Linked DNA regions of Arabidopsis thaliana. The protein of the gene in region 3 interacts with the protein of the main gene of each other region in a biochemical or structural test. Each region holds a gene or a part of one and is shown on either strand. Other genes may lie near its edges. The genes, in order: UVR8, ARF1 and MYB77.

Region 1 (11,768 bases), on a different chromosome or scaffold from region 3:
CTAGTGAATCCTCATAACTTTGGTTTCTCACTAAAAACAGATGGATGTTCCACGGCCAGCTTTCAAATGTTTTGATGACGATGGCCGGCTTAAACGTTCAGGTAAAAAATTTAAATCCCCTTGTTGGTTACTTGACAGTTTACACCTTTGAAATGAATGATCCAAAGAGAAAAACTGCGATTGTTTCAGGGACGGTTTGGACCGCGAGTGCGCATATCATAACCGCCGTGATTGGATCTGGTGTTCTATCGCTTGCGTGGGCTATAGGTCAACTCGGTTGGATCGCAGGTCCTACAGTGATGTTGTTGTTCTCTTTTGTCACTTACTACTCTTCCACGCTTCTTAGCGACTGCTACAGAACCGGAGATCCTGTCTCTGGGAAGAGAAACTATACTTACATGGACGCTGTCCGATCAATCCTAGGTATCAACTATCGTCTCTCTGTTTTCCTCCGCATATGCTTTGATTGCTCTGTTTTTGGGTTGTTTCTCTCTGTTTTGTTCTGTTTTACTCTGTTTTGTGTTCTGAAATGCTCTGTTTCTGGCAGGTGGCTTTAGGTTCAAGATTTGTGGGCTGATTCAGTATTTGAATCTGTTTGGTATCACGGTCGGGTACACAATCGCAGCATCTATAAGTATGATGTGAGTCTTTCTTTCTCACAAACTAGTTTATTTTGGAACACCATATAATGAGATAAAAGGCCTTAAAAATTTGGTTGTATCGGATCGAGTTTCAGGGCGATCAAGAGGTCCAACTGTTTCCACGAGAGCGGAGGGAAAAACCCGTGTCACATGTCGAGCAATCCATACATGATCATGTTTGGTGTGACCGAGATCTTGCTCTCTCAGATCAAAGATTTTGACCAGATTTGGTGGCTCTCCATTGTCGCTGCTATCATGTCCTTCACATACTCTGCAATCGGTTTAGCTCTCGGAATCATTCAAGTCGCGGGTAAAAGAAAATTACTTTGTAAGACTCTTCGCAGTAATCAACAAAGCAGAGGGTTTAACTAACTCTAATGTGTTTCAGCAAATGGAGTTGTCAAGGGAAGTCTCACCGGAATTAGCATCGGCGCAGTGACTCAGACCCAAAAAATATGGAGAACCTTTCAAGCACTTGGAGACATTGCCTTTGCTTATTCATACTCTGTTGTTCTTATTGAAATTCAGGTAAGATAAAGAACCTAACCAATATGGAATCTGTTTTCTATACGAGTTTACAAAATCTCTGACCTTTTTTTGGGGTGCATGTGGGTTTTCATTAGGACACTGTAAGATCTCCACCAGCAGAATCAAAAACGATGAAGATCGCCACAAGAATCAGCATCGCTGTTACAACGACATTTTACATGCTATGTGGTTGTATGGGCTATGCCGCCTTCGGAGATAAAGCACCGGGAAACCTCTTAACCGGTTTTGGTTTCTACAATCCGTTTTGGCTCCTTGACGTGGCTAACGCTGCCATAGTTATCCACCTTGTAGGAGCTTATCAAGTCTTTGCTCAGCCCATCTTCGCCTTTATTGAGAAACAAGCTGCCGCTAGGTTTCCCGACAGTGACTTGGTGACCAAGGAATACGAAATCCGAATCCCTGGTTTTAGGTCACCGTACAAAGTCAACGTTTTCAGAGCAGTTTACCGAAGCGGGTTTGTGGTTTTGACCACTGTGATATCCATGCTTATGCCGTTTTTCAACGACGTCGTAGGGATTTTAGGTGCGTTAGGGTTTTGGCCTTTGACGGTTTACTTTCCGGTGGAGATGTATATAAGACAGAGGAAGGTTGAGAGATGGAGTATGAAGTGGGTTTGTCTGCAGATGTTGAGCTGTGGTTGTTTGATGATCACGTTGGTCGCCGGAGTTGGCTCCATCGCCGGAGTAATGCTAGACCTTAAGGTTTACAAGCCGTTCAAGACTACTTACTAAACAAACCATGATGATGATGAAGAAGAAGAAGGTGGTGGAGAAAAAAACAAAAGATATAAATTTTAATATATTTCATTTGGGGAAATGTGAATAATGTAAAAGTTCTTCGTTTCGTATAATTTTTATCTTGCGTAATTTATATACATAATGTGTTCTCAATCTATAATTGATGTGGTGTTTATTGAAAGTTTGTTAACCAGATATGGATTTAAAGACAATAAACATACTAATAGATTTATGTAGAAAATGAATTATAGATTAACATAGATTTATGAAAAAAGGTTTTTTAAGAAAAAACAACTTGAACATAAGGTATAGTCCATTGCCGGAGTAATGCCATGAGATAATCGTAATGTATGAATAAGTGTATGTGAATATAAGAAGATTGGCGAAATGATATATGGAGTAATATTTACCCGAAATTAAAAAAGCAAGAAAGTGGTGGGAATGAAAGACTCGTGGATGAAACATCAAGAATCATTAGAAAGTTTGAAAGATGGCGACTTGGAACTGAAAAAGGTAATAACATGGAATCGAATCTAAGTGACATCGATTTGGAATAATTTAAGGGAAAGAAACCCGACACATAAAGAGAAACACTAAAAGAGCAATATGGATGGTTTTGCTTTAAAGAGAATCACCCACATAAGTTTTACCCAATAGAAAATTTTCACTAAACGCCAAATATATTAGGCAGCATAACTAGGTTGGCGGATGATGAAGGATCAATTTTTTTTCTTTTTGACATATCCATCACTTAGTCCATTAGAAATTCTTCGTATTCTAGACTCTTCGTATTGAGACTAGAATATATAGAAATACGAAACATGCATTGTGTGTTGGGCCTAAAGGCTAACCTACCCAAAAGTTGTAAACTAAAATACCCATACTACTCTCGTTCTCATCTGCGCTTCACACTTTGATAAAAAAGGAGAAGTTCAACTTGTTAATCTGTGATCACTGTTCTTCTTAAGTTTTGATCTTGATTGATAAAATTGTTTTTTTTTCCAAAATTCAAATACTCTAAAACTCAGCGGGTCACTATCAATCATATCATATTTGAATTCAAACATAGGCGGTAAAAAAATAAGACAAAAAGAAAATTCTCTTAAAACATAAGTTGTATAATGGTTGAAGGAAAAAACAGAAAACTTTTTAAGAAATGAAAGATATAGAACCAGAAGGTATTATTATGGTGAGGAAAAAAAAAGTACATACCCTAGAGACTAGTAGTAGTAGTACACACAGTTTACAACGCCCATGTAATAAGAGAGCTAGGGGGAGGGAAGCATCACAAGTTACAAACTAACAACAACAACAAAAAGTACAATCCCAAACTAGACAGACGTACTCTTAGTACAAACCTCAACCCAAAAGAGATCACTGAAAAACCTTCGAATCCAACGGAAGAACCGGAAGTAAAAAAAAAACGGAATTGACTCAGGCTCAAATTCGTACACGCTTGACATCAGTTTGTGGAACACTGATATCACCTCCATTACCTTTGCTTGAACCATCCGTTAGGCCCTAACACACAACCAAATTCAAAATCACACACATAGATTTCATCCTTGAAAACAATCCACGATCTTGACAGAGCAAGGTATAATTGTGCAGCAATGATTAATCAGTAAAATCTGGTTCTAAGCCGATATAATTGTGCCATTTGCTTTCATTGTAGTTTACGTATTGGATATAAAGTTTAGTAGAATTAACAAAATTAAGGCTTACCGTTTCATCAGGAACAACTGCATATCTCTCTGCAGGCGACACCCAGCTTTTCCCTGGTAACAAAGCAATGCAAAAGTTGAATCATTTAATCACTTGTTGAGTCGTTTACAGAAATCGTTTTAACTAGTGGTATTGTTTAAATACCTGAAGATGGATCGATATTAGAAGATTCTATATGTTGTCCACTTGCTCCATCGACGCTGAGTGCCTCTATAATCTTGGGAAAGTTCCTATAAACACCAAACCAAATATCCATTTCACATTATCAAGATAGGTAGTGAGTGGGATTGAAAAGCAATGATTTTGGTGGAAACAACGATCTTACTGGCCAATTTTCATATTCTGTTCGTAACACCAAGATATGTTAAGTGGAAAACATTGATTCATGAGCGATTAGATGATCACACTTTTACCTGTCAACCGACTCTCCAATGCCGAGCTGTCCATTTGTACCTCTACCCCAAGCAAACACGTTATTTCTTTCAGTGACAGCCAAGGTATGTCTCCATCCACATGAGACTTGAACTACTTTCTGTGAAATTCCACAATATGTGTGCATTGGAAAAGAAAACAGCGAATTGAGACATGAACTTATTAATATGATTATATAGCCGGTAAAACATTGGGACGAGCTTTCTCGTTAAACTTTTTTAGGGATAACATGCCTGATCATCGGGAAATCGCACTTGCACAGGAGAACACTGATCTAAATTATTGCCGACTCCTACTTGTCCAAACTGCAGGCTAAAAGAGAGACAATTAGAAGTTTGTTTTATTCAAGATGAGTTACTAAAGTTACCCAATATATGCATTGTTGTTTTCTTAAAATAACATCTAAGTGAATGCATATCACTCCTTAACAGCATAAAGCAACTAAATGCAAATATCAGTGAATGTGTAGATGAAAATAGGTGTTCTATACATTTCTACGAAATATAGGCCAGAAAAAAAAAAAAAAAAAGCAAGACATTCTAGACCTTATTCCAACCCCATCCATATAGTTTTCCATCTGAAGTCAATGCCATTGTATGTCTCCAACCTCCCGAAATCTGGAAAAGAAACGAACAGTAAGTCCAAAAGATGTCGAACAGAAGAAGAAAACCAACAGAAGTACATACAATGAAGCCAGTCTTCTTCAGTAGGTAATAGTTGTCAGAAAGTTTTCGAAAAACATATTATTGCTATCCCATATGTTGGATATTTCAGATGTACAAATTTGTATTTCAAGACAGATTTATAAGGCCTAAGTGAAACCTGGGAGATAAAACTGTTGCTCAGTGCTTCCAGTTTGTGAGGAATAAGGTGATCCTCCAAGTCTCCATGTCCTAGCTGTCCATATTTGCTCCATCCATAAGTATACAATGCTCCAGAGTAGGAAACTGATATTGTGTGCCGCCATCCACAAGCAACCATTGACATTTTCTCACCCTAAAATTGTAGTTACAACCAGGAAAACGAGAGTCAAGTGAGTCGAAATGAAAAGAGAATTAAGGAAAAAATTGAGGGACTAAAATGCAGAAATAGAAGTTGGTAAAAAGGTGAGGTTGCGTGATATCAATGTTATATGAACTAAATTTCATTTCATGAACTGTGCAGATTCAGGATACCAAACTTTGATCATTCTAAAAGTTTTATGGTCACTTCCCTGACACCCACCAACTGAAATTAGACTGCATATACGTGTGACTCCATCAATATAGACAGCTAATCCAGAATAGTGCAGTGCATATTGAGCTATTCACGATTTCTTTCACGTATACTGAACTTCAAATGCAAGTTTAAACAAGTAGCAGGTGCTTAAACAAAAATTATAGAACAAGAGTCTTCTAGCTTACACCAGTAGAGGTAACTCTTTCAGGAACTAAGCGGTCAGTCCGGTCACCTAATCCCAAATTTCCGTATCTTCCCCAGCCCCATCCATAGAGGTCACCATCTTCTGTAACTGCAGCAGTGTGTTCTGCACCAGCAGCAACCATTTTGATTCGTATTCCCTGCACCCATTACAAGTTTAAAGTGTTGATGTAACAATGGAGATCAGCGAAACTAACAACATAAACTCAGGGTCTCTAATCACTTAATCTTCTAGTTTACCTAGTCCGATAAATTATCAATAAGATCCTACCTTCTATCTGTGTTTTGCAGATAGTATAACACATAGACATCCAATTTAGTATCTACCACTCCTAAAATTATGTAACTTAAATTATGATTCTGAAGACATCTTCACCAGATGTGGACCCTTAACTAGTAACAGTCATATGTTTAAGAAGATCAAGTTGCAGAAATAGACCCAACATTGACCCAATTCTGAAGCATAGTATTTGGCAAGTTGAGGAAACTACAACGAAAAAAGATGTTAGAAGAATATTTAGTGATACAAACCTCAAAGGCTTGAATCTTCTGAGGCACTAGAGAATCTTCGGTGTCCCCCAGACCAAGTTGACCATTCTGGTTGCGGCCCCAACTGTATAAACAGAAGTCAAAGAGATATGTTGGAAAACAAGACAAGACAGACAAAACGTTTAAAAGGCAATGTACACAATAACCAAGATATATAGAAATGACACAGGACGCAATCGACATTATCAAATTCCGATGAAATTCATCTAATTGAGCTGAGATGTAAACTGTAAATGATTGCACATAAGGAGAAGAACAATAACAAAGAGAAAATACCTCTGGACCTCTCCTTCCATAGTGACAGCCAAACAATGACTATCCCCACAAGCAATCTGCTTGATCCGAATACCGTGCAATGCTTTGATTGGTAGCGGAGTAAACAAGTCGCTTGAGTTACCATGGCCTAATCTCCCAAAATCACCCCTGCAAAGTACACATAAAGGTTAGAGAACACGAGGCTTAAAATATGTGCAAATGAGTGTATAATTAGTTACTGTTTTCTACACAAAAATCTAGAGAGGAACTAGTGGTCATCATCTCATCCCGAATATATCAAACAGACTGAAGAGCAATTGATTCAGCAGCAAAGAAGAAGATAATGATGAGAAACAAACCATCCCCAACTGTAGACTTCCATGCCTGATTGTGAATAAGCAACAGTGTGATCAGCACCACAGGTAACGGAAACAATTTGGTGGCCATCTAAAGCGCTAAGCTGAGTCGGAGAAGGTCGATCCTCTGCATCGCCATGACCTAACTGTCCATCCTCTCCTCGACCCCAAGAACAAACAATGTCACCAGCTACAAAATCAAAACATAAAACTACTCATTAGTAGACGACGAAAGTAAGGGAAACTCGATTAAAGGCCAGATCAAGAGAATTCGCGAAGAGCACAGCCTACTAAAGCAGCGGATTTCACAATTCCGGTGATTATTTGAGTCCGTAATAGAAAAGGAAAAAAAACAGCGAAGAAGAAGAGAGACGTACAGAGAAGAGCGACGGAGTGGCTAGCACCAGCGGAGATGATAAGAACCTTACGAGGAGGAGCCGTAACTTCGTCGGCAGCCATATCCTCCGCCATGGATCACAGTTGCAGTTTTCACAAGATATTTTTTTTGGGGAGAAATGAATTTTGAAAAAAGTAAGAAATTTCTATTTTTTGATAAATTGGGAAATTTTGTAGCTTCTCTTTCACTATCCGTAATCTCTCGAGGGTTGAACAAGGAAAGACAGAGAGAGAAAGCGGTAGATGGTAATAAAGGCGCGATGGAGATTTGCACATGTCATATATCTGCTTTTTGACTTTTTTACTTTTGCTGGTTTTTTTATTTTTTGTTTTAACCGTACAGTAAATCTCTTTTTTGTCGTACAGGCTTTAATTGCAAAAGGGTCCCTCTTCACTTAATAAATCCAAATACGGACCTCACCGGTAAAGTTTTATACTTTCATAATTTCACCATTTCTTTTTTTTTTTGTTTCTTGACCATTTCATTTACCTCTTCACATAAGTAGATTTAAGCCAGTACACATGACATTCTAGATCGTAACTTGTGTTTTATGTGTTCATCATTCACAGGTGTAAGGCGCATAGATCGTAAGAGCCTAATCATATGTTTTTAGTCATGCACACGTGTGAAAGTATACACGTTAGTCAAAAAAAATTCTGAGTTTCATAGTCCAAAGTGACATATCCAATTTGTCTTTTTAGTTATAAATATTCAGTTCAGCTATTTTAGTTTTTCAAAGAGGTCAAATTAAACCTGGATTACAATATGGTGTACAGTTTGTCTTTTTATTATGATTCTGATTATCATATGAAGATACGTCTTGCTACATGTTATTTTATTCAATTATTCAAAATGCATGGTTCTACATATGGAAATATACAGATATACGGTCTACTTACAACTTGATTTTTTTTTTTTTTGTTAAATTACAACTTGAAGATTCTACTATCAACAAAACAAAAACAAAAAAAAATCTTCTATCGATCGAGCGAGATATTCAAATCAAAATACATGGTCAACAGGTCAACTATAGATTCAAAATATATGAATACCTAAATATTCAAATTAAGATATATCAATTCACGATCTAAAACATCCAAATATAGATTTTGCGAAAACGGCCAAAGAAATTATACATAACGGATAAAAATAAATAAAAAATTACATACGGATACTACTTAGTAGTACTTACTAGATTACCTAAAACCCATAATCTTACATATACATATGGATAAAGGTAACATCGATGAATTACTTGTTTCATCCGATCTGGAACGAATATATCACCTCGCTCGACCTAACATTTATGTGAAACTAAAAGGTTGTTTACATTGAGATAAAACCAACATTATATGCTTGTCAGTGAGGGAAGTTGTGACATCTATTATAGTAAGAAAATTAAATGAATGAAGATATTTTTGCATTGCCTGATACATGCATTATATGTATTGTCCAATTTTGGCATTAAAGTCAACGAGACAAAACTCTAGATCAAGATGGTCTCTAATGTTGACATTTGTTGCGACCTCTTTCAAATGGGTTCATCTCATCATTCATCACACAAATTTGTTGCATTATCTTTTATAATCTTGTTAAATAAACATCATTACGAACAATTTGTGGAAAAATGGAAATTATATGAAAGCCATTGGAAGTACTATATACAATTTAATGCACATGACTTCAACAGAAAATACTAGAGAGACAAGATAAGACACCTATAATAATTTAAGCTTGACATGAAGTGCTAAACAATTACTGTTTAGAGACATATATGCACATGAAACTAGGAAAGAAAAAACATTGCGGTGAGTACATGTCAATGATTGTCGATGAACAAATTACAAAACAGTAAAAATCAACACCCACCCACATGGGTTCCGGTATAAGGGTCAAGTTTGGCGATAACACAAATTTTAGGGTTTGCAAAAATGTTGTAACCATAATCGGTGATGAAATATGGAAGATCATGTGAATATTTAGATGATGAAACTATTTGGCTGAAAAGACAGTTAACTTTAAGCTTTATTACTTGAGATGCCCCGTGACAGACAACGAATGACCTTGGAGAGAATCACACAGATGATGCTAGAGGTAGCTTTAATGTGTTATATTTGCGAATGAAGATGCTTCACGCTCCTGTCGAATTCTTCTCTCTTTAGAGAAAGAACAGACCATTATTAGTTTAGCCCACTCAAGAGAAAAAACCGAAAACAATTGCAATAAATGCTTCAAAGTGCAATAAGGAACCATAAGATAGTTAGCATCAACCTCCACTTCATACTGTCTTTTACAAGAAGACATACATTCATCTGAACAAATTGCTACCAAATTCGGCATTTAATAAGCTGTCTCGTTACTTAGGATTTTCATAACCACACAATTTTTTGTTGGATAAGATTCTAGTAATGTGTCAATATTTCAAAGGAAAACTATAATGCCGACAGACACATAACTTGATCCACAAACTTCCATTGGACTAATCTACTACTCGATTTATCATTCAGTTAAAAGCAATTCTATACAATGAAAGTTACTGCAAGTTTGACCTCTCAAGATTTAGGCTAACCTGACAAAACAGAGCAAAATCTTACAAGATTTAGGTTTAAATAAGACGTGTAGGAACCAAGAAACTAAGAACTACATGAGATTTAAGATGGTTCTTATTTCTTCATCTTCCATACATAACTTAAATGTGAATTCTACAAATGATTTTCTTCATCTCTTTTCTTTACATTTGATTCCATTTTATGTTTGCAAATAATGAGCAATCACAACAACTGTAAAAAACATCAATTCAAGATACTCCTTTTCAGCTTCGGTCAGCTATTTGGTTGTTCGTTATTGGTGTCCATTGCTGACTTATCCATCTCATCATCAGAATCAATGACATTTTCAAAGTCATAATATGGATGCGCCTGCACATTTAAAAACCGATGTCGCTATGTATGTGTATCAAAGAAGTAAAACAACTCGTTGGTTCATTATCAGCATCGTAAGTTAGTTACCTTTGGTCGCGGTTTAACAGCTTCGAAACTATGAAATTGAGGATCCGAGAAATCAGGCGCCTGCAAAATAATATATGCTCCTTTGTTTTTGTACCTCTCTTCTGTTGCCTACACCACACACAAAAATGATTGTTAACGCATATCTTTAGAAAATGCAAATACCAAAGGCGTAAAAATACATACTTGGAATTGCGGATAGTCAGGTGCACTGAAAATAGTGATAAGCTTTCCGGATTCGACATTGTGGTCTATTGTATATCCATTGTCCATTCCACCAAGACCAGTTCTCTTCTCTCTAGCATCTGGACCTTCATGTGATCTGATGATCAACTGCACCAATAAGTGTAAAACATTTGATCCAATCATCCATATCAGTATTTGGGAAGCAAACAAGCATCAATATCTACTTTGGTGTCACCTTCAGTTCATATTTCTTCAAAAAATCCTCTGTACAATCGGGACCCCAAAGAAGACCAATGCCTCTCTGTTCATTTGGTGAAAGGCCCGGAGTCATTGAAGGATCAGACCATAAAACGTCTCCTGGTATCAAGTTTGAACCTTCCCAAGGAGGATCAAGAACTGATCTTCGAGCTTGCATCAACTCATCTAAGGTACCGAGTTTCATTGAGCTCGGCTCAGGTTCCAGAAGAACTACCCGACGGTTCTTTTTCCCCCTTGTTGTTCGCTTAGGCAAGACTGGGCTGCGGAAAAGCCCTCCATGTGCTGTATAAACACGTCCAGAAATTATGGAAGCCAAAGGAAGACCTTCAAAGCAACCCAAACATTTCCGGTACACATGTTTTCCCTTGTCTCCGTATTTTGTAAGCACTTCCTTCTCGAAACCATACATAGATGTACAATACTTTGACTCATGATTACCACGGAGTAGGTAGACTCTGTCCGGCATCAAAACCTAAACAACCAAAAAGATATGTGCTTTAAGAATACTAAGACTTGAGCCAATAGTAAAACAGCTTAGTAAAGAGTTTACCTTCCAGGACAAGAGAACAAGGAAGGTTTCAAGTCCCCAAGCACCGCGATCCACATAGTCTCCGTTGAAAACATAACACCGGTTTTGACAAGGAAAGCCAGTATCTTTCAATAGGAAAAGAAGGTCATGAAGCTGACCATGAATGTCACCAACCACAACAACGTTGGATACAGAGTCAAGATCATCGATATGAACGCAGTTACGTTCTTTGTGGAGGATTTTATGAGCGGTGAGGACGAGGGAATCAAAGACGTTGACAGGCAATAGTGAAGGTAACTGGGAAGGAGGTAGATTCCATGAAGACCATTCGAAACACGACATAAGCCCATGTACCCAGTCGTTAGTGAGAGCTCCCCCATCTGGCCATGTAATGGGAGATGGTGGAACAGTTTCCATTAAAACTGTAAAAACACTAATCTATAATCAATTCCAGAGTATGAACATGTGAAACAAGAGTATCAAGCAATCGAAACATAGACAAAGTTTTCAAATTTCAGCGATCAAAGCCACCAGAACATAAAATCGAATCTGTATATATTCATTCGTACATCTTTAAACTCAAGAGAAGAGCAAAAAGTACAAAATCGAATCATGGGAAATCGAAATCCATATCACAAAGAATAATTCGGAACAGAGTGAGACTCACCGGCTAAGAGTGGAGACAATTTACAAAATTCCAAAGCTTGGATCTTGGACCTAGCTAAGCTAG
Region 2 (11,532 bases), on a different chromosome or scaffold from region 3:
TATTCTCTCTGCTCAGCTAAAAGTGAATTTGACCATTTGAAGAGGCTTTGGTCCATAACTTTCTGTCTTTTATGACATTGACAGGTCGAAATAGACGTGGAGAGTTTTGTGCAGTCTTTCAGACCTGATATAATGGAGGCGGTGTATGCTTGGGCAAAAGGGTCCAAATTCTATGAGGTCATGGAGATTGCTCGTGTTTTCGAAGGGAGCTTGATCAGAGCGATAAGGAGAATGGAGGAAGTTCTGCAACAGCTCATAGTAGCTGCAAAATCTATAGGAGAAACACAGCTTGAAGCTAAACTAGAAGAAGCTGTTTCCAAGATCAAAAGAGACATTGTATTCGCGGCGTCTCTCTACTTGTGATGTCGTGCTTATTTCATCCTGGCAACAAGATTATAACAAAAGCAACGAATTTTGTTTGTACCATCATTTATTCTTAAAGTCTTATAATGTGTACTAAGAACTATAAAGCAAGAGGAGATTTATCATAATTTTATTTTTGACCATGACCATTGTTCAAGGTAGAACAAGACGTGAAACTTAATTTCCATATTTCCCGTACAAAAGCTACACAACTCCTCAAAACACATTGCATCTAAGTGAATTCATAAGACTTGAAGACATAAAACTTCATTGCTATACACAGACATCTCAACTTTCATATTGTCTAACGATCTCTTGCTTCTGCTTTCATATTTCCTACGTGGCAAGTACATTTAAAACATAACACAGTGATATACTCATCTTGATCCCGCCATAGATGATGATCTGCCCTCTGTATTCCCATTTTCCTCTGCATCAGCTTTGAGCTGCATCCTTGCATTGACTGCGAGTTTGTTCTTCGGTGAAAGTTTCTTCACTTCCTCAGGTGTGTAGATGAATATCTTCCTCACCATTCCACAGAACTCACTGCAGCACAAAAGAGAAGACCAAAATGATCATCAACGGTAAAGCAAAAGGACACATTACAGCAGATGATGCTTTGCAATTTTAACCACTGCTTTATTTGTTGACACCAAACAAAATTTAGAGTATTAGACAGCAAATGCACTTACTTCCATGGATCATCACCAACCATCATCATGTCATCTTCATCATCGGTGTAAACGACTTGCCATTTTTTGGTAGATTCTAAGAGTTCACCCTTGATATCAAACATCTCTTCCAGCTTCTTGAACAGATCTTCATAACACTCTGACCTTGTCAAATCAATAGCTCTGCCTACTGCACTGCCTTGCATGTGCACCTAAATCAAATTGCCAAAAACATTGCGTTTTAGTCAAAAGCAAGCCGCAGACACGGTCCACCAATTTAAGACCAATATTGGAGTTGTGACAAAAAAAATTGATCTTCAAAGAAAGAGCGAGCGATACAAGAGGCTAATAGTCACACCTTTGTGCAGCTACGTATCTGTCTACTTTGTGATTCTTGAGGAGACCTCAAAGAGGATTTCTCAGGGTCACCACTCCCCGAAGGAATATCAGATTGGTTGATGTTTAATGGCTCAGATTGCTGGCCAGAGTCAAACTCGTTGGATGGGACAGGTTGATCTACAGCGACAGCACCAGACACAGAGGCAGCAGAGAAACATTCATCCACATTAACATTTTCAACTAGCTCAAACCCAAAAAGCCTACAGACATTTCCATTAGTTTGTTTCTTTTCAGTAGATTCATTGTTAAACGCTGAAGCAAAGGATTCAGCTGCACTATCTGCATTGGTGGGCCAAAAGGCTGATCCAATAGATACTCCAAATGATTTGTTCCCACCATGACCAAACGTAGCAGCTTTGGCAGGAGGAGAGAATAATGGCACTGAGGAAGGAGTGTCTGCCGGGGATTTCCACACACCATCTGGAGTAACTGAAGAGAGCATCAATAAAAAGAGCAAGAGCCGCCACAAAGAAGAACAGTTCAAAGAGAAAAGAACACAGAATACCAGGACCAGATGGACCAGTGGCTGGTGAAGGTAAACCAGGAGGTCTTGGTCGTTTGTTCCTTTGCGGAGGCTGAGGTTGTGAAGACGGAGTACTATTTGCAACTAGGGGCTCAAGTTCCCAAGGTGAAACTCTTTCAGGACGAAATACAGATGAGGGTTCGTCCCATTGAACCTGAAGCATGATCAGATTGCCAATAAGCATATTAAGATGCATCACTCTATTCATTCAACTAAGAAAATACAAATCCACAACTTGCTCCACTGCAAAGTATAACAGTAGAATATTCTAACCTTTAGCGATCTCCATTCAGAATCATGCCAGACCGAAGACTTATTTTCCTGAACACCAACTATTGTGCCACTGAACCTGCATAGTTAAAACGCACACAAAAAAAAAGACTAGAAGTTATATTCAGCTTTATCAGCAAAAAGAAAACAATATAGTTAGTTTTGATACCTTTTCTCGGGAGCTTCTTCCCCCTCGAATCTCATCTTGAAACGCATGCCTACAGACAGCTTCTGGGTCTTAGCTTCGAGATACCTATTGACGCTCACAATAAACTCTGACCTACTTGTCCTGATAATAGAAGATATGTCAGCCTGGATTTGCAGCAAAATGATTATCATCAAGCATATGCAGGCAACAGTAACTCAATGGAATAAGATGCATATTTATTAAAAAATGGCTGGTGTGTCCGTCCCAGACCGGCTAAATAAATCTAACATAGCAAAATTTTCAGTTTCTAAATGGAGCTGAAAGTCTGATGCAGCAACTGATGTGTTTTGGACCATTTGATGAGACCTTGGCTTGTAGAAGACAGAAAAGATTGTTCCTGTTGTAATGGCATGAGCTGCTGTTGCAAGGACCCCAATATGCATGCTATGACTTGAAATGACAGATGACGGGATATTAGTCTGTTGTCTCATGTGCCGCCTAACACCTACTCGGAGCTCTTCATTCTCACCCCTGAAAGATAATACTATGTCACATGTCCAGCCGTATGTGGCAAAAATAATATCCAGACGAATGAAATGAGGAGCTTGCCTTAAGAATATGAAAGCATCACCAGCCACTAGTTTCTTCGAGCTAACAAAAACACTCCATCCAGTTGTTAGCAAATGACGCCTTGGTTGGCCTGTAGTCACAACCTTATGATTAAAACAAACGTGAAACAATAATATTAATGCAAAATTATGTAAAGCTTTAAAGGTTCCCAGTAGCAGTAGCATTGGGGTAAAGGAACCACAGTTTAAAGACCATCTCATAATAAGATACCAAGTGTATTAACCTCGGAAAATGTGCCTAAAATGCCATTCACTATTGTGCAAATCAGTTGCAACCAATTCTTGCCACGGTGGTTGTTGGGACATATCCTAGAAAAGAGAAAGCAAACTGTTACACAAAATAGCAGTGGAGATGTTTCCAAAAAGCAACCAGAACACCGGAAGCAAGTCTGACCAAGGGTGGGAGACAATCATCTGCATGTCTCCGTAGCACCGAGAAGCCACCATGTGTGCTTGTGTCTGAAGCAGTTAGTGTCTTGCAAAATGAATGTACGGTGCACTTTTCAGGTTCTTGAACAGGGGCATCTGGGCTAGTGGGTTCGCTTTGCTGATAACCAAACACAATAGTTTCACCAAAATCAAGTACAGGAAAAAAAATTACCGAACCGTTTTTTGTGAAACACCAAACCATCAAAATTTACTTACATCCAGTTCTGGCAATAAGGTTATTTGCGCATATACTTCGTCAGTCTCGGGCTCTGCCTGAGCTTGCAAAGTGAAGCACAACAAGGTATAATATTCTTTAGCCAACCCATTTCATGAAGAAAAGGTAAGAAACTTTTATCATATATCATGGAATTTAGCCTACCCTGCGCTGGATGTTGATAACTTTACAGAGGATCTTAGATGGGAGGTTGAAGGAAGGCATCTGTTGCTCCAAACCTTGGTGCATTGATGCCTCGAGCTGCACAGGAAGTGACCAATTAAATGCATAAATGTGATAATCAGATAAGATGAAAGAAACAATAATCATGTGAAATCAAAACAGGTAGTGCATTTATCCGTTCTATACAACAATACATGTTTTGTGATTTTACTTTTAAACTAGAAAGCACCAACAAGGTATTTTGAAGCGACAGTTGACACAGTAATAACAGTCCAATTAACATAACCGGCTTTAGCAAATGATAATGTTAAATGATTCAACCCAATAACCAACCTGCTCCATGTGGCCTTCAGGGAAATAATAAACTCGTTCCCCTTCACGAGGTAGGGTTACAAGAGGTCCAGCACAGGCATGCCAGAGCTCCCTACATAAAGCATCACTTAAAACTCCTACAAAGAAACAGATATGGGTTATGTGACGCAACAATATATCTCAAAAACAAAGCAATGGTTGCAATCTCCAAGGCTTTAAAACCCTTATCCAGTTCTTAATCATCCATTTCAAGTTATGCAGAATCCCCAAACAAGCTTAGAAAGTGGATTCCCAGTAGAAAATAGCAAAGAATGGTATAAAAACAAGAAATATTCCACGAACCTCCAGGTTTACCAGATGAATGATTGGAAGCTGCCATTAGGAATCTACTTACTTTCGATAAATTTACCTGGGCAACAAAACAAAAGAAGAGAAAACTATAAGATTGAAATGTTATTCTGAAAGAGAAAAGAAGAAGATGGACCTATCCTCCTCTAATTTAGACAAACAAAACTCTGATAGATGTTATTATGTAGAAACATTTAAAACCCCATTCATAAATTTACTGACAAAAATGTGGGCCATTTATGTAACTGCTTTGTTCTACATTGTGTCTAAAGCACATCACAAGACTCAGATTCTCAAAATTTTATTACCCAATTTGAAGAGAAAATCCAATAATCACTCAAACAAAGAGGTAAAAAGAAAGAACAAATAAAGCAAAAGCAAGACAAGAACCTGCTCAATAACATACCAAAAATGAACAGATTTTAGTCCTTAATAACTTCACACAAAGCAACACCAAAACTGTTACTAAAACCATCTCTACAATGACAAGACTTCAAACTCAGAACCTAAAATTATCATACAGAATCAAATCTAAGAGAAGAACACAACAGCTACAGACAAAATTTCAGAACCACCAAAGAGAAACCTCATTTAGAAAGCTTGAAAAGGAACGATTTTTAGATCAGGAACGAGAAAAAGAGTTGAATTTTGGATATGAAACAAAGTAACGATTCCTGATCTAGATTATCCCCAAAATCAAAATCCTAGTAAAATCGACAAACCCAGCTCAAATCTGACTACAGATCCTCTAAAGTCTCCTCCTTTTCCAACATTTACTAAGCAGAACCAAGCAAAACAAGCAAAACCCAGAAATAAAAATCGAACCTTTAACTTAAAACCACTGGATCCAAAGCGAGCTAGGGTTCAAACAAAACCCAGAAAGGGGATAGAAGAGAAACTAAGAATTGCTGTCAAAAAATAATGTAAGAAGAGGAAAAAGAAAACAGTAGAAGATTGATTTGTAACAAAGATGTGAGAGAGAGAGAGATAAAGGTGTGTATGTAAAGGTGTATACACACACCGTCAGTGTTTGGTTGAAGCCGACACGAACCCTTTGGCTATGGCTTGCCTCTTTTTCTCCTCTCCTCTTTATATTTTTTTTTAATTGTGTCGTCGCTTTGGGTTTTTGTTTCCAACCACAAGCAAATGACTTGCTCTCTAGTCTCCTTAACTTTGAAAAAAGAGCTTTTCTTTGAGAAAAATTCACTAAACTAGCCATAATTAACGGATTTATTGGGTTTAGCTGTTAATTTAGTAGAGATTAGTGAACTTGTATGTTTTTAGACTTTGCATACATATTAAGAATTTTTTTACTACTACAAATATATTCGTGTTTAATAAATATTCATTAGTTGTTTTATTAATTCAACCCTAGTTAATAGGAGATAAAATTAAAAAAAAATCTACATTTATCTTTATGAGACAATTTTTGGTTTCTTTCTAAAACTTATATTATAAAGAAATGAGAGAGTAATTATTTTTTCTGTATTTCAACATTATGTGAATTGAAAGGTGCATCATGAATCATGATTTTTGTATTTTCAAATTAGATTATATATTTAACCAAATTCATATGAGTGACAAAATTAATATTGTCATATGAATCTGTAATGTTTTTATCTGGAGCTCGGATTTGACTATGGAGGAGACACTAGTGAAGAGATTTTGTAGCGATTTAGTGCTATCATGTGAATCTCATCCATTATTTCTGAGGGTATTTTTGTTGAAAACAATCAAGTGTAGCATCTTCTCGCTTGTTTTGCAAAATTCCAAAACCTATTACTTTTTCTTAATTCTTTTCAAAAATATGTCTATGTAGCATCCTAATTGTTTCTTAGAAAATACTCAAAATATGAATATAACATGTGACAATTCTGCTAGAAAAAGAAAAGAAAAACAAAAAAACTGAAACACTCTAGGCAAAAATATCAAGCATCAAAATTGATAACGAAGTTCATGTAGATAGAATCCAAAAATCCTTGAGCTAAGAAAGCGGCACAAAGCGAGACCACCCAATTCTTCCAAATATTCTCTAACAAATAAATGTATAAAATTTTTTGGTGGTTTAAAGTTAACTACTAATCTAATCGAATGGAGATGGAGAGCGAGTTAGCTTTAAATTGGGCATAATGATTTGCTACTAGCCTAGTTAGAAGAAATGACAGTCCACCTAAGATGAAATAATCTGTTATTCTAGAATTTCTGACAGAGGAGAACCCTTTGAAATAAGATATCTAAGAACTTTCGACGTTTAGTTCTGGAATCCTAAGTTTCTTTCTCTCTTCTTAAAAGAGATATGAAACAGGCTTTGAGATTTGAGATTTTGTTTTATTTTTGGCAAAAACATTAGTCATCGCTTCTTGGCCAATTATTTTTGAAAGTTAATTTTTGCCCTTAATATGATTCTCTTTTTTAAAAAGGATAGTCTTTTTGCTTAGAGGATGGCTCTGATCACTATGTATGTATATGAGGCTCATCGTCCTTTGATGTGAATGTATGAGAAGTTATTAGAGTTAGCATGTAGTTTATAAACACGCATTAATGGTACAGTTAACCAAGGCCACAACAAACTACTTCGGCACCAGCGTACTTTTGAAAAATGTGTCCATACTTGATAGGACAAAAGCGGCGGAATACCATGAACCGTTCAAGATTTGAAACCCATAACCCAAATTTGGTCGTAACGTGGTAACTTGATAAATATAAATTCATATCCTTTGATTCATATAATCATATTCATAATAAAGCAACTCGACCCGTATAAGCATACCTATTATTCTGTTTTACTTTAAATAACTCACTACGTGAAATATTTGACTAGGAATTTTCACATGAAAGTTGTAGGATTACTTAATTACATTAAAACTATATATTTTAGTGTGTTTAAACAGTAAATAGCACAATTGATTACATAGTCCCTAGTGACTACTTTCATATCTTTATATATTTTCTCTTTAAAAATGTGTCATTGATAAAAGTAATTTTGAGGTTCATCTTTGCATTGAGTGAAAATCTTCAAAATAATATATAGGTAAACATATAAATGATTCCTAACATATGATTGAATTATTGTTATTCGTTGGTATACCATTCTTAACAAATTGATTCTTTTTAAAATTTATGTACCATGATAAAAATCGTAATAACTGATTAACAAAACTACTTTTATTAAAATAACAATGCATATTTATACTAGTTGAAAATGACTTACATTGTGTGTAAAATGTTTATTTTTTCATGCGATATTAGTATTGATTTTAGCAACGATTTTTTGGTTATAAAACACAAAGGTCACCACAAGCGATCTTCGAATATGAGCAAAATGCATTAGAGAAAGTTTGAGAAATGAAAAAAAAAAAAAAATCAATCTCTCATAATCTCATTGTACTCATATTCTCTCGAAGTGAAACACCACATCACAACTAATTTTATCATTTTTAATGTAATCTCTCAAATTGCGGAATCTACTCAAACTGGTGGTGGCGACAGTAAAATTCAACGAATAGATTTTTATTTGTTATTCATTAACTTTGAAAAAAAACTTGAAACTTTGACAAAAGTTATATTTATAAAATAAAACCAATAATTTCAACTCAAAAATTACACTACAATAATACTATTAACTTTGTTGATACTTAATGCAATTATCAAATTTATATTTATTATTAAAAAAAAATTGCATGTGTTGTTAAATGGAAAATAATGCAAACCCACCAGAGTTCCTTACAGCTTCACTGCTTGTCTCCTGTGGTGGGGACTCAATTGAGATTCACGCGCTGCAAAAGAAGCATACCACTTGGATTAATAAAATGATTTTTGATTAACTAGTAACAAAATTAGAGATTCAGGCTATCAGTAATAATTAATGTATGCTTAATAATTGAGCTTTTTTGTCTTTGACAGTACCACCACTAGCTTTACGTGTTTTCTTCTCGGTAAGCATGGACATGTCTCCTTTGTCTCTAACCAATCTTTTTATTCTGATTATTTCTTTTTTTGCAACCAAAACCTAATTTTCTTAGTTCTGAAATTTAATTCAAAAATAGAAAACTTTCTTTAAACTAACAAGTTACATAAAGAAAAAAAACATAAATGTTACAATTAGTTTCAACGGTACGACGAAACTAAATAACCTGTTTTGGTCTTTATTATTTTATTGAGATATTAGAACTTCGGTTTTAGGCGTTATTGGATACATATTTAAGGGTTATGTGTTGCTCTTAAGTCTAATCATGACTCATGAGTTGAACCAAGTCGATTTTAAGGTGAACCGATCTGTTTCCGAGGTGAACAAATCCGTTCCTAAAATGAATTTTGCAATTACTCATTGTTACTTTGTATTTAAAAAGATAGCAATGATCAGTAAAAAAAAAGAAGAAGAAGATGGCAATGAGTTGGCATAGACTTTTTATTGCGGTAATGATATCATGAACACAAGTCATGAAGTAAAGGAAACATGAGAACATTTCTAGTTTTTAGTACTTTTTTACAGAAGTTACCCTGTAGTTCAAACATTAATCTGGTTCGGCCCCGGTCCGGTTTTTTATTTTTATAACGTTGGGCTCTAATTGGAATAATGAATATTTGCCAAGCCATCGTTCACATTATTTTCAAGCTTTCCAAAACAATATACACACATTCATTAGTAAGCCCAATCTTGAGGCCCAATACAGACCTATTAAAAAACTCTTTAACAGCCTACCATATATATTTTCCACTCATAAATTCAAAAGCAAGATACATTACGATTTGGAGTAACGTTCGTTATAAAATTGAAAGTGACTAAAATTACAGAGAAGGTATACCAAGGAGTACACAAAAAATATAGTGGAAAATTACTTTTAAAGTCAATATTAACTCAATAGACGTAAACACATAACAATCAGGAATCATATGATCATCAATTGATCACAGGATTATGAAAGCATGCAAGTTACGAGAAAAATATTAGTAATAGATTGAAAGCATCATAATACAATACATTATCATTACTTTGTAAAATCAAACCATATAGAAAATCTATAGACTATTGCATGCATGTTGCTAAATTAACAGCAAGCCCTAATTATAACGTATTCATCTTGGATAACCAACAAGAGTAAGTATATTAAAGTTTTTGATTTTTATTTTTAATATATATTTTAGTTTGCAAAATATATTTCAAACGACACCAATCTGATATTACAAGGTAGCTCGTCTTGTAATAAGAAAATAAAAAAAGGTAGCTCGTCTTGATTTCTAACATCGATGATTTTTATTTATTTATTTTGTTTAAAACATGAAATATACGGATTTAAATTCAACGAACGACTTTGAACCTCAGTTTGTGTGTATATATATGGCTATATCAAGTCGATTAGAAATCATTAAAAGATAGCTTCTTGCATTTCGTTGTACGTTTTATTCGAAAGTACCAAAAACAATCCATCAAGTAAAAGTAAATCATCTTGGATTCCAGTAGATTCACCGATGGATTTGAATTCTTGGCAAAAAACAATTAAAACAAAAAGATAAAAGATTATTATTTTTATTTTTTCTTAAAACAAAAGATTTGAAAGTCACATTGTGTGAGCTCAAGATCACTTGAGAAGCATAAGGTTGCGATAACGCTTGCGCTTACGTCTTGCTGTCAGAGCCGTGCCTCATGTACAAAAAATAAGGCATTTGCCTTAGGCCACCAAAAATTAAACAAATAAAAAGGCCACATTTTTCCTAAATTAAGTAAAACATTTATTTTTATATAGTGTTTTAGGTTTTTTTTTTGGAAATAAAACTCAAATCATTAACATTTATATAAAATTTTGTTTGTGTTTCATTTTCACTAACTACTAAATCTTGTTTATTTATTATTATTATTTTTTAAATCAAGCAACATTTTCTTATCCTTTTACATTAAAAAAAATTTCTCTCAAAAATATAATATGTTTGGCCACATTTTAAAAATTTGTCTTAAGCCACAATGGACCTTGGCACGGCACTGCTTGCTGTGATAATGTTTTGGATATCTTTGTTGATGAGGTTGAAGAGAGTAGCGGTTGGGATCGAGACATGGTTGTGAACTACACTTTCTCTTTGTTTCCAAATGTGGTAAACAGTTGACTGCGTTGCTATCCTCCTAATGAGGTTCTTACTTTGTAAAAGCCAAAAAAATCTATGATATTAACATTCATAGCAACAACAAAAAGAAAAAGAAAAAAAAAAGGAAGATTCAACGTCATTATATTTTACTGACAAAATTTAAAGATGAGGTATCCACTATTGAATACGCTTGAATAGTAAATATATCTAGAGATAGTACAAAGAGTAAAAATCGCATTTCAGAAACTCAAGAGCGGCAGGAAAATAATACAAAAGCATCACAAATTATGAAACCCACTTCTTGTAATAACTCTATAGTTGAAGTAACTGTGCTAAGTGGGAGAATGTAATAATGCCATTAAAATGGGGGACAAATTGATGCAATATTTTAACCATCAATGAGTAAAGTAAAGTTGAATATAAAGAAACTATTAATACTAGTGGATAAAGGAAGGACGAGCCAATCTTTAACACCCAACATGTTCCAGACATGTTTCTTACCATTAGATTGTGTCCAAATTGAGAACATCATTGAGGAAATAACAAATCCATCACTTTTCATCGTGTTCCTCTTTTCTAATTTACATAGATAACTTTTGTGGGAAAGAAAATGTTGGTGTTGTGTTTCCTGTTTGTGTACTGTGACAATGATTCCGGTAAATTTCGATAAAGAACATTCGAGTTATCTTATCTGGTTAGTCTCATACTAATTAGTTTCATTAGCTGATTAGTATCAGAGTTAATTATCATTATTTGAATACTTCTGTTTGTAATTGTTGATACTCCAATTTTACACTTGCATGTAAACAAGCTTAGATGTGAGAAAAAAAAACCATAAAAAAAGTTCTTGTAATAGTAACACAACGATGAATTGTTCAATATTTTTCTTTCTCTATGACCTTGAGTTTTCAGAAATTCTCTCGATAATCTTCATCATTAATACTCTCTGATTTCTCCGATGATCA
Region 3 (8,529 bases):
TATTTTTGTTGATTTTTGTTTTTTCAATCAATCTCGCAATTGATTTTTTGGATATGTTTTGTTTTCATAGTCGAACGATGAATAAACGAAGAAGACAAAGTTTTTTTGTTTCTTAGATTTTCATTAATTATAATAAACAATAATATTAATTTAAATGAAATTAAAAAGATCATATTAAACAAACATAAATTACAATAATATCAAGATGATCAGACTCAATGGTTTGGTTGGTGGCTCTTCCTCCTCAACCAAATGAATATTAAAATGCTAAAATTTGAATATTCCAATTTGGCTTTCTAAATTTTTAGTTTGTCTACGGTGAGTTATGAATAACAATTCTATATCTATTTTCTAAATAGAAGTAACAAAAATGAATTAACTTTATACAATTACACATTTAACCACATTGGAAGAGAATGGTATCGAACCCTTGCTACCAAGAGAGCTCGGCTAAATGGAACAACTAACACTCAATATGACTAACGGCAACAACATGAATATCTTAATAAATACGAATACAGTTTATCCTAAATGTTACTTATTATTTGTATATGTGTAGAGAACATATTCATACGAATATTTTTGGGACAAGATAACAATTTTCATTCCTGTAAATAAAATTCCACTAAATGGTAAATAACTCGAAAGTCTCGAATGATACAATGAACTCAGTCAACATATATTTGTTTTTCCGCCTCTTACACCGACTAATCTACCACCGTGTGTTAGTATTATGATCTTTATGTTATTTAAAGCTTATCGTTGTTTAGATATATCGAACGAGTTTTTCTGTTAGGCAAACCTTACAAAAATGAATTTAAAAATTAGGAGAACAAACCCGACAATCGAAGCATGGACCCTAATTAACAACAAACAGCAAATGATATACTTTGATTTATATATTCACACATCGTGCACCGTCTTGTTCCTTTTGACAACAACCTATTACCAATATTTTAATTACAATGTTTCTAAGACACACATTGTTGGAATTATATTCTACATCGTGCACCGTCTCTCAGGTATATGTGTTCACCAAATGTTCACGTGCATCTTTCAAAATCTAGCTAAGTGTACAGCAAAAGTACGTGTCAATTATACATTGACCCAAAATAAAATGTTGGATCCGAAATGAAATAGATCTAAACAATGTTTAAGTAACACGAAACAATTTACGACAAAAAAAAAAAGTAACACGAAACAATTTACAAATCCTCAATTTAGTTTACAAACCAATAAAACTTAACATGGTATATATTATAGTCTAATTCAACCCATATAATATAACCTAAATAGGATAAGTTTTCGATTAGAAATACACCAAGAAAACCATCATTTAAATATGACATGTTAGAATGTGGAACACATAATAAAAGTAAACATATTGTTAACTTTTATAACCAAGACTAAGTGTATTATTATTATTATTTTTTTTTATTTTTTTAAAATATTAGGAGGTTTTGGGCCGAAACCCGTAATCTCTACAGACCCAAAATTACAGCATATAATATTAGTTTCGTCACTAGAATGTATTATTAGTATGAAAGAAATAACAATTAAGGGAAAGTTTGGTCAGTAAACTGAAAACCAACAACATCAAAACTGAAATAGTTTCGGTAATCCGTTTATAATTTGACTAATTAGTATGTAACTAATTCGACATAAAATACGGAAAAAGATAAATTAAAAAATAAGTTGTGAAACCGTTCGATGAAGGTTGGGAAGAAGGTGCAAATGACGTTTAGTGCGTTACTAACGTAAGAGACAGTTACACACAATTTCAAAAACAGTTCCAAAAATTTGACACGTGGCAGTTTGCTTAATGGACGACAGTTAGTTGTTTGTTGAGGATTACAGCCTGGATTTTCGTCAATCAAAAACTATATATTATAAATAAATATGATTTCATTCACATTCCAATTGGCCTAACACTCTTTTGTCGTGTTGTCCATGTCAGCAAATTTTATTTTTATTTTTCCGACCACTTACTTTTATCTTGTGTGGCCGTTTCTTTGTAACAAGTTTATGAAACAGAATATTAATCGTATCTAATCATATAAATGTAGTTTCCCGTATTGTGTAAATACTATATGACTTTGATTTGGGGCATTCAAAAACGTACCATTAACAAATAGTCACAGACAAAAAAACCATACAAAACTGAACCACATTTCTATAAACGATACAAATATTTTTATCCCAAATTTGTAGCACTAGGCAGTTTGAACCTTTTTCAGTTAGAAAGATAAACCAAAAGGAAGTAAAAAATATTAATTTCATCGCTCAAAACTGTTACAATTACTGTTTAACCAGTCATAAATTAGTTAATGTTTTTTTTTAAAAATGTGTAATCAAAATTTTACTTTCAAGAGTGCCAGCTCTATACTTGCAATTACTTTAAAATTTAAAAATATACAAATTTTAAATTATGTGTATTGTATTCTCGAGAAAAAAAAAAAAAGAAATCTATGAATAATTAAAACGTAGCATAACCGTTACAAGTATAGTTTCAAATTCAACGAATCAAAATACTTTTTTAAAAGTAGCTAATACTTTTCTCGTTTCAAATTAAATGTCGTTTTGCATATTAATTTTTGTGTCATATTAAACGTCGTTTTATATTCTATGCAGATTTTATGTATAAACTTTATTGGTCAAAAGCGTTACGAATATCGTTTCAAGTTCAACGAATCAAAACATATTTTATAAAAACATCTAATACGTTTTCCGTTTCAAATTAGATGTCGTTTTGCATTTTAATTTTTGTGTCAGTCTAATGTCGTTTTATATTTTCTACACATTTATATTTTCAAAAATTTCAGTTTTATTTTTATTGTTTAAATATATCATCCAATTTGAAAATAATACAATACAATAACAAAAATAACATTTAAATTAAACAAAAATATTTTTAGAACACTGTGATCAAATTTTATCCTCCAATATTTCCCGACCCATAAACTTTAAACCTTATGTAACTTCAAAAAAAAATTCAAATTAGTCGTTTTGTATTCTACAAAATAAAATAAAAGGAAAAAAGTTTCAGAGAAAAGGGTAAATTTGCATAACAAGGAATACAGGCTGGCGTGTCCAGTCAAAAAAGTCAGAAATCTGCATAAAAAACTGTCTTTACCCAAACTGCCAAACCTAACCGTTATCGTCTCAGATATTATTATTATTTTTCAAATAAACATTCAAAACAGCTTTCTAATTTTTCACCTCAGATTGTGCGAATAATATCAGAGCTCTTTCCTTGTAGGTTTCCGTGATTTTGTCGCTTTAACTTCCCTTCTTTTCCCACTCTCTTCTCACGCGCGCGTGCTTCCCCTTTCTCTCTTTCGACTGTATCACACGCTCCATAAACTAATAAACAGACGCACCGAGATCACGACACGTGTACACCTACAGCTGTATCCCAAAACTTTCAAAACCGCTTGCGTGGAAGAAGCGGTGCATGACTTTCTCCACCGTCTCTACCGGTTACCGGTTATTATCCATCCTCCTCTCTATCTCTCTCTCTGTTATAAATACCTTTTTTCTCCTCTCTTCAGTTTCCTCCACCTTCTTCTTCTTCTTCTTCTTCTCTACAACAAACAAACAAAAGATCTGTTTCAATGGCGGATCGTGTTAAAGGTCCATGGAGTCAAGAAGAAGATGAGCAGCTACGAAGGATGGTTGAGAAATACGGACCGAGGAATTGGTCTGCGATTAGCAAATCGATTCCAGGTCGATCTGGTAAATCGTGTAGATTACGTTGGTGTAATCAGTTATCTCCGGAGGTTGAGCATCGTCCTTTCTCGCCGGAGGAAGATGAGACTATTGTAACCGCCCGTGCTCAGTTTGGTAACAAGTGGGCGACGATTGCTCGTCTTCTTAACGGTCGTACGGATAACGCCGTTAAAAATCACTGGAACTCTACGCTTAAGAGGAAATGCAGCGGAGGTGTGGCGGTTACGACGGTGACGGAGACGGAGGAAGATCAGGATCGGCCGAAGAAGAGGAGATCTGTTAGCTTTGATTCTGCTTTTGCTCCGGTGGATACTGGATTGTACATGAGTCCTGAGAGTCCTAACGGAATCGATGTTAGTGATTCTAGCACGATTCCGTCACCGTCGTCTCCTGTTGCTCAGCTGTTTAAACCAATGCCGATTTCCGGCGGTTTTACGGTGGTTCCGCAGCCGTTACCGGTTGAAATGTCTTCGTCTTCGGAGGATCCACCTACTTCGTTGAGTTTGTCACTACCTGGAGCTGAGAACACGAGTTCGAGCCATAACAATAACAACAACGCGTTGATGTTTCCGAGATTTGAGAGTCAGATGAAGATTAATGTAGAGGAGAGAGGAGAAGGACGTAGAGGTGAGTTTATGACGGTGGTGCAGGAGATGATAAAAGCTGAAGTGAGGAGTTACATGGCGGAAATGCAGAAAACAAGTGGTGGATTCGTCGTCGGAGGTTTATACGAATCCGGCGGCAATGGTGGTTTTAGGGATTGTGGAGTAATAACACCTAAGGTTGAGTAGTTTTGGTTTAGGGTTAAAACTTGAATCGATTGGGGATTTTCAAGAGCATTCATTTTTGGGGTTTATGGTAAAATTAAAAACAAAAACAAAATGTACAGAGGAATTAAAATTTCTATGGAATAATCTTAAATCTCAAATATTTGTTACTTGTTTTGGTGATTCATAACCAAAATCTATAACAAGTCTAAATCTAAAAATTGAACCTTGATTAGTGAGACATTATCATACAAAGAGACATACTGAGTTAGTCAACAAAATGTAGGATAACTACATTCTTACATATTGTATAGATGAATTTCATGTTAATCCTTTCATAGAGCTATACAGTAACCATGATTAGTGAGACCTTGTAACATGTAGTATCAAAATCAACAAAGGTATAGATTTAACATCTATTTGAAAACATTCGAACCTTTTATTTGAAAATCTTTTGCTTGTTGTAAGAGATTTACTCTATAGTCTATAGATAGTAATTAAACCTTTTCTATAGGTTTGGTAGATTACTTCACTTTTATATAAAATTAATTACTGTCAAATCGGATTTTTGTTAACATAATTATTTTTCGACAATTTAGAAATTATCGTAAAAATTAGATCAATCTTTCTACATTCTTACAAAAAATAAATACATTGTCTAGAAAATCAGTTTTTTTTTTTCGTTTTAAATCTATAAAAAAACTGACAACAACAAAACAATACATACTTTTTAATTACTATAGAGTAAAATCTCTTACAACATGCCAAAGATTTCAAATAAATTGTAGGAAGATTTTTATGTTATTTAACCATTCTACAGTATAAATAAACACTGGTACAGCGATGTTAAAAAGTAGAGGTTAAAAAAATGCGTTAAAAACACAAAAGCTACGTCGTTTCAATAACTGGGTTTTGTCTCAAAGAAAGCTGCTTTTGGTTCCCGTAGATCTAAAGTTACGTTCGAGTCTCCCCTCTTCTCTCCACTCACTCAGCTCTTTTGATTCCCCTCCAATTTTCTCCGACGGTACGGTCGAAAAATCCAACCGGAGATCAAATGGCACTGCCGTCGATCTCATCAATCGGCGCGACGTTCTCACTCCTAATCTATTTATCTCTTCCTTATTCAATCACAGCTGGTGAAAACAACCTCCTCCACCAATCTCCAACCGCTAGATCACGACGTCCCATGGTGTTCCCATTGTTCCTCTCTCAACCAAATTCTTCTTCGAGATCCATATCAATCCCACATCGAAAACTCCACAAATCCGACTCAAAATCACTTCCTCACTCTCGCATGAGACTCTACGACGATCTTCTTATTAATGGGTAATCTCCTTTTCCATATTTCCCGATCTGGGTCATGTAAAGATGTCTCTTTTATATACTATTATATCGTATTTGTAGGTATTACACTACGAGGCTTTGGATTGGTACACCACCACAAATGTTTGCTCTTATAGTTGATTCTGGTAGTACTGTTACTTATGTTCCTTGTTCTGATTGTGAACAATGTGGCAAACACCAGGTAATGATGGCTCTAGATATCCAAATCTTGTGTCTTGTCTCGTGTAAAGTTGCAAATTTTGAAACTTTCTTATGGTTATTGATCAGGACCCAAAATTTCAGCCAGAAATGTCTAGCACTTATCAACCTGTTAAGTGTAACATGGATTGTAATTGTGATGATGATAGAGAACAATGTGTTTACGAGAGAGAGTATGCTGAACATAGTAGTAGTAAAGGTGTTCTTGGAGAAGATCTTATTTCATTTGGCAATGAAAGCCAGCTAACACCTCAACGAGCTGTTTTCGGTTGTGAAACTGTTGAAACCGGTGATCTTTATAGTCAACGTGCTGATGGGATTATTGGATTAGGTCAAGGAGATCTTAGTCTTGTTGATCAATTGGTGGATAAAGGTTTGATAAGCAACTCTTTTGGTTTGTGTTATGGAGGGATGGATGTTGGTGGTGGTTCGATGATTCTTGGCGGTTTTGATTATCCATCTGATATGGTGTTTACGGACTCGGACCCTGATCGTAGGTATGTTTCCAAGGGAATGGCTTTTTCTGATTGGTGAATGGGATCTTGTATAATCCTAACAAATACGTTTAATACCTTTCACACATTTACTCTAGTTTCGGGATGGCGACAGTCCATATTACAATATAGATTTGACGGGGATACGTGTTGCTGGGAAGCAGTTGTCTCTTCATTCGAGAGTCTTTGACGGGGAACATGGCGCCGTACTAGACAGTGGTACAACATATGCTTATCTTCCAGACGCAGCATTTGCGGCATTTGAGGAAGCTGTAAGAACTGTTCTGAGAATTGTTAATGTTTAGTTAAGTTCCCTGTTTCTCTGTTGCTTATCTTACATGAGGCTCTTATCTTGTTGTATTGAAGGTAATGAGAGAAGTTTCCACATTGAAGCAGATTGATGGTCCTGATCCAAATTTTAAAGATACTTGCTTCCAAGTCGCTGCAAGGTATTTATTATCTCTTGCAAACTTGTGGTGTATATCATAACTTATAATCAAGGCAAGTAACTGACTCTTATAATTGTTTATGCTGAAGTAATTATGTCTCGGAACTTTCAAAGATATTCCCATCGGTCGAGATGGTATTTAAGAGTGGACAGTCATGGCTGTTGTCCCCTGAAAATTACATGTTTCGAGTAAGTAATGTAGCCCTTAACCTATTATGAAGTTCCATGTTCTCTCTATAGCTAGCACTCTATGCAGTATTTATAAGTCTCTCTGTGTCTGGTGTTGGTTTAGCCACAAATCAGTAGCTGATGTGATTACTTTTTGATCAATAAAAGCATTCCAAGGTGCATGGTGCTTACTGTCTCGGTGTCTTCCCAAACGGAAAAGATCACACAACTCTTTTAGGAGGTAAATAGATATCATTACTTTGTTTGATTTTTCTCTTTTTATGGCTACCTTCATTTGTTATTATACTGCATATCATTTTACTTGCCAACAGATTCATTTGTAACAAATGATCTTATACTATTATCAGGAATTGTGGTTCGTAATACACTTGTTGTGTATGATCGTGAGAATTCGAAGGTTGGATTCTGGAGAACCAATTGTTCGGAGTTATCGGATAGGCTTCATATTGATGGTGCACCACCACCTGCTACTTTGCCTTCAAATGATTCAAATCCCTCCCACAATTCATCAAGCAATCTGTCAGGTTAGCACGACAAACTCTCTCGTCTTGGAAATTACAAACTGAAAAAAGAAACTATTTCTATTTCTCCTGATGTTTGTGGTACTTGATTCCTCAGGTGTGACTCAAGTTGGTCAAATAAACCTTGATATTCAACTAACAGTCAACTCGTCCTATCTGAAACCTCGGATTGAAGATCTCTCCAAGATATTCTCCAAGGAGCTCGATGTCAAATCTTCACAGGTGAGCCAAACTGATAAACACACAACAACTTGTAAGCCTTAAGCACTATTTTCGCCAATATTGAGTGAAAATGTGTCTGTCACAGGTCAGTTTATCGAATCTCACCTCCAAAGGAAACGAGTCTCTCGTCAGAATGGTTGTCCTCCCACCTGAACCTTCTACTTGGTTTTCAAATGTCACAGCAACGGTAATGATTACACAAAAGACTTCTCCTTACATTGCTCAATATTTTATCTTCTCACATGACATATTCCATTATGCTTCTTGTAGAATATAGTTTCTCGGTTTACAAATCATCAAATAAAGCTTCCTGAAATCTTCGGAAACTATCAGCTGGTTAATTACAAACTCGAGCCTCCAAGAAAACGGTAATCGCCATTCATTCTCAACCGTAGCTAAAAGATTATCATTCCATTGTCTCAAAAAGAAAATTCTTTTCCATTCGTTTTTTAGGACGAATAACAACATTGTCGTGATCGCGATTGGAATCATCGCTGTAATCGTCGGGTTATCAGCTTATGGAGCTTGGTTGATATGGAAACGGAAACAAACATCAATTCCATACAAGCCTGTTGATGAAGCTATAGTAGCTGAGCAAGAACTTCAACCTATATAAA

Evidence for each region.
Region 1: the proteins of MYB77 (region 3) and UVR8 form a complex in vitro, tested with the Arabidopsis thaliana proteins (one study listed by BioGRID).
Region 2: the proteins of MYB77 (region 3) and ARF1 form a complex in vitro, tested with the Arabidopsis thaliana proteins (one study listed by BioGRID).

What each region holds. Positions count from the first base shown.
Region 1 is NC_003076.8:25,551,454-25,563,221, forward strand, and holds UVR8 (Regulator of chromosome condensation (RCC1) family protein), read right to left. Parts: upstream 8,047-11,768; 5' UTR 7,963-8,046; intron 7,532-7,962; 5' UTR 7,135-7,531; coding exon 7,041-7,134; intron 6,854-7,040; coding exon 6,667-6,853; intron 6,476-6,666; coding exon 6,329-6,475; intron 6,117-6,328; coding exon 6,035-6,116; intron 5,644-6,034; coding exon 5,488-5,643; intron 5,081-5,487; coding exon 4,907-5,080; intron 4,702-4,906; coding exon 4,630-4,701; intron 4,390-4,629; coding exon 4,318-4,389; intron 4,185-4,317; coding exon 4,066-4,184; intron 3,883-4,065; coding exon 3,797-3,882; intron 3,706-3,796; coding exon 3,653-3,705; intron 3,449-3,652; coding exon 3,368-3,448; 3' UTR 2,963-3,367; downstream 1-2,962. Other genes in the region: AAP4 (amino acid permease 4), read left to right, coding at 41-101, 190-423, 548-641, 737-951, 1,030-1,169, 1,265-1,921; PP7 (serine/threonine phosphatase 7), read right to left, coding at 9,883-9,978, 10,069-10,176, 10,252-10,398, 10,487-10,981, 11,060-11,455. UniProt on the Arabidopsis thaliana protein: UV-B specific signaling component that acts as a UV-B photoreceptor and plays a key role in establishing UV-protective responses in plants.
Region 2 is NC_003070.9:21,973,402-21,984,933, reverse strand, and holds ARF1 (auxin response factor 1), read right to left. Parts: upstream 5,596-11,532; 5' UTR 5,511-5,595; exon of another isoform or gene 5,315-5,510; intron 4,551-5,314; 5' UTR 4,521-4,550; coding exon 4,484-4,520; intron 4,279-4,483; coding exon 4,163-4,278; intron 3,908-4,162; coding exon 3,812-3,907; intron 3,706-3,811; coding exon 3,649-3,705; intron 3,551-3,648; coding exon 3,398-3,550; intron 3,313-3,397; coding exon 3,228-3,312; intron 3,075-3,227; coding exon 2,984-3,074; intron 2,906-2,983; coding exon 2,741-2,905; intron 2,516-2,740; coding exon 2,396-2,515; intron 2,306-2,395; coding exon 2,230-2,305; intron 2,111-2,229; coding exon 1,939-2,110; intron 1,863-1,938; coding exon 1,393-1,862; intron 1,247-1,392; coding exon 1,056-1,246; intron 910-1,055; coding exon 741-909; 3' UTR 501-740; downstream 1-500. Other genes in the region: MTR4 (RNA helicase, ATP-dependent, SK12/DOB1 protein), read left to right, coding at 85-363. UniProt on the Arabidopsis thaliana protein: Auxin response factors (ARFs) are transcriptional factors that bind specifically to the DNA sequence 5'-TGTCTC-3' found in the auxin-responsive promoter elements (AuxREs). Seems to act as transcriptional repressor.
Region 3 is NC_003074.8:18,554,137-18,562,665, reverse strand, and holds MYB77 (myb domain protein 77), read left to right. Parts: upstream 1-3,339; 5' UTR 3,340-3,614; coding exon 3,615-4,520; 3' UTR 4,521-5,059; downstream 5,060-8,529. Other genes in the region: AT3G50050 (Eukaryotic aspartyl protease family protein), read left to right, coding at 5,551-5,822, 5,901-6,021, 6,108-6,535, 6,648-6,804, 6,899-6,981, 7,070-7,169, 7,317-7,389, 7,517-7,693 and 4 more. UniProt on the Arabidopsis thaliana protein: Transcription factor involved in auxin response. Functions in auxin signal transduction and modulates lateral root growth. Interacts with ARF response factors to promote auxin-responsive gene expression.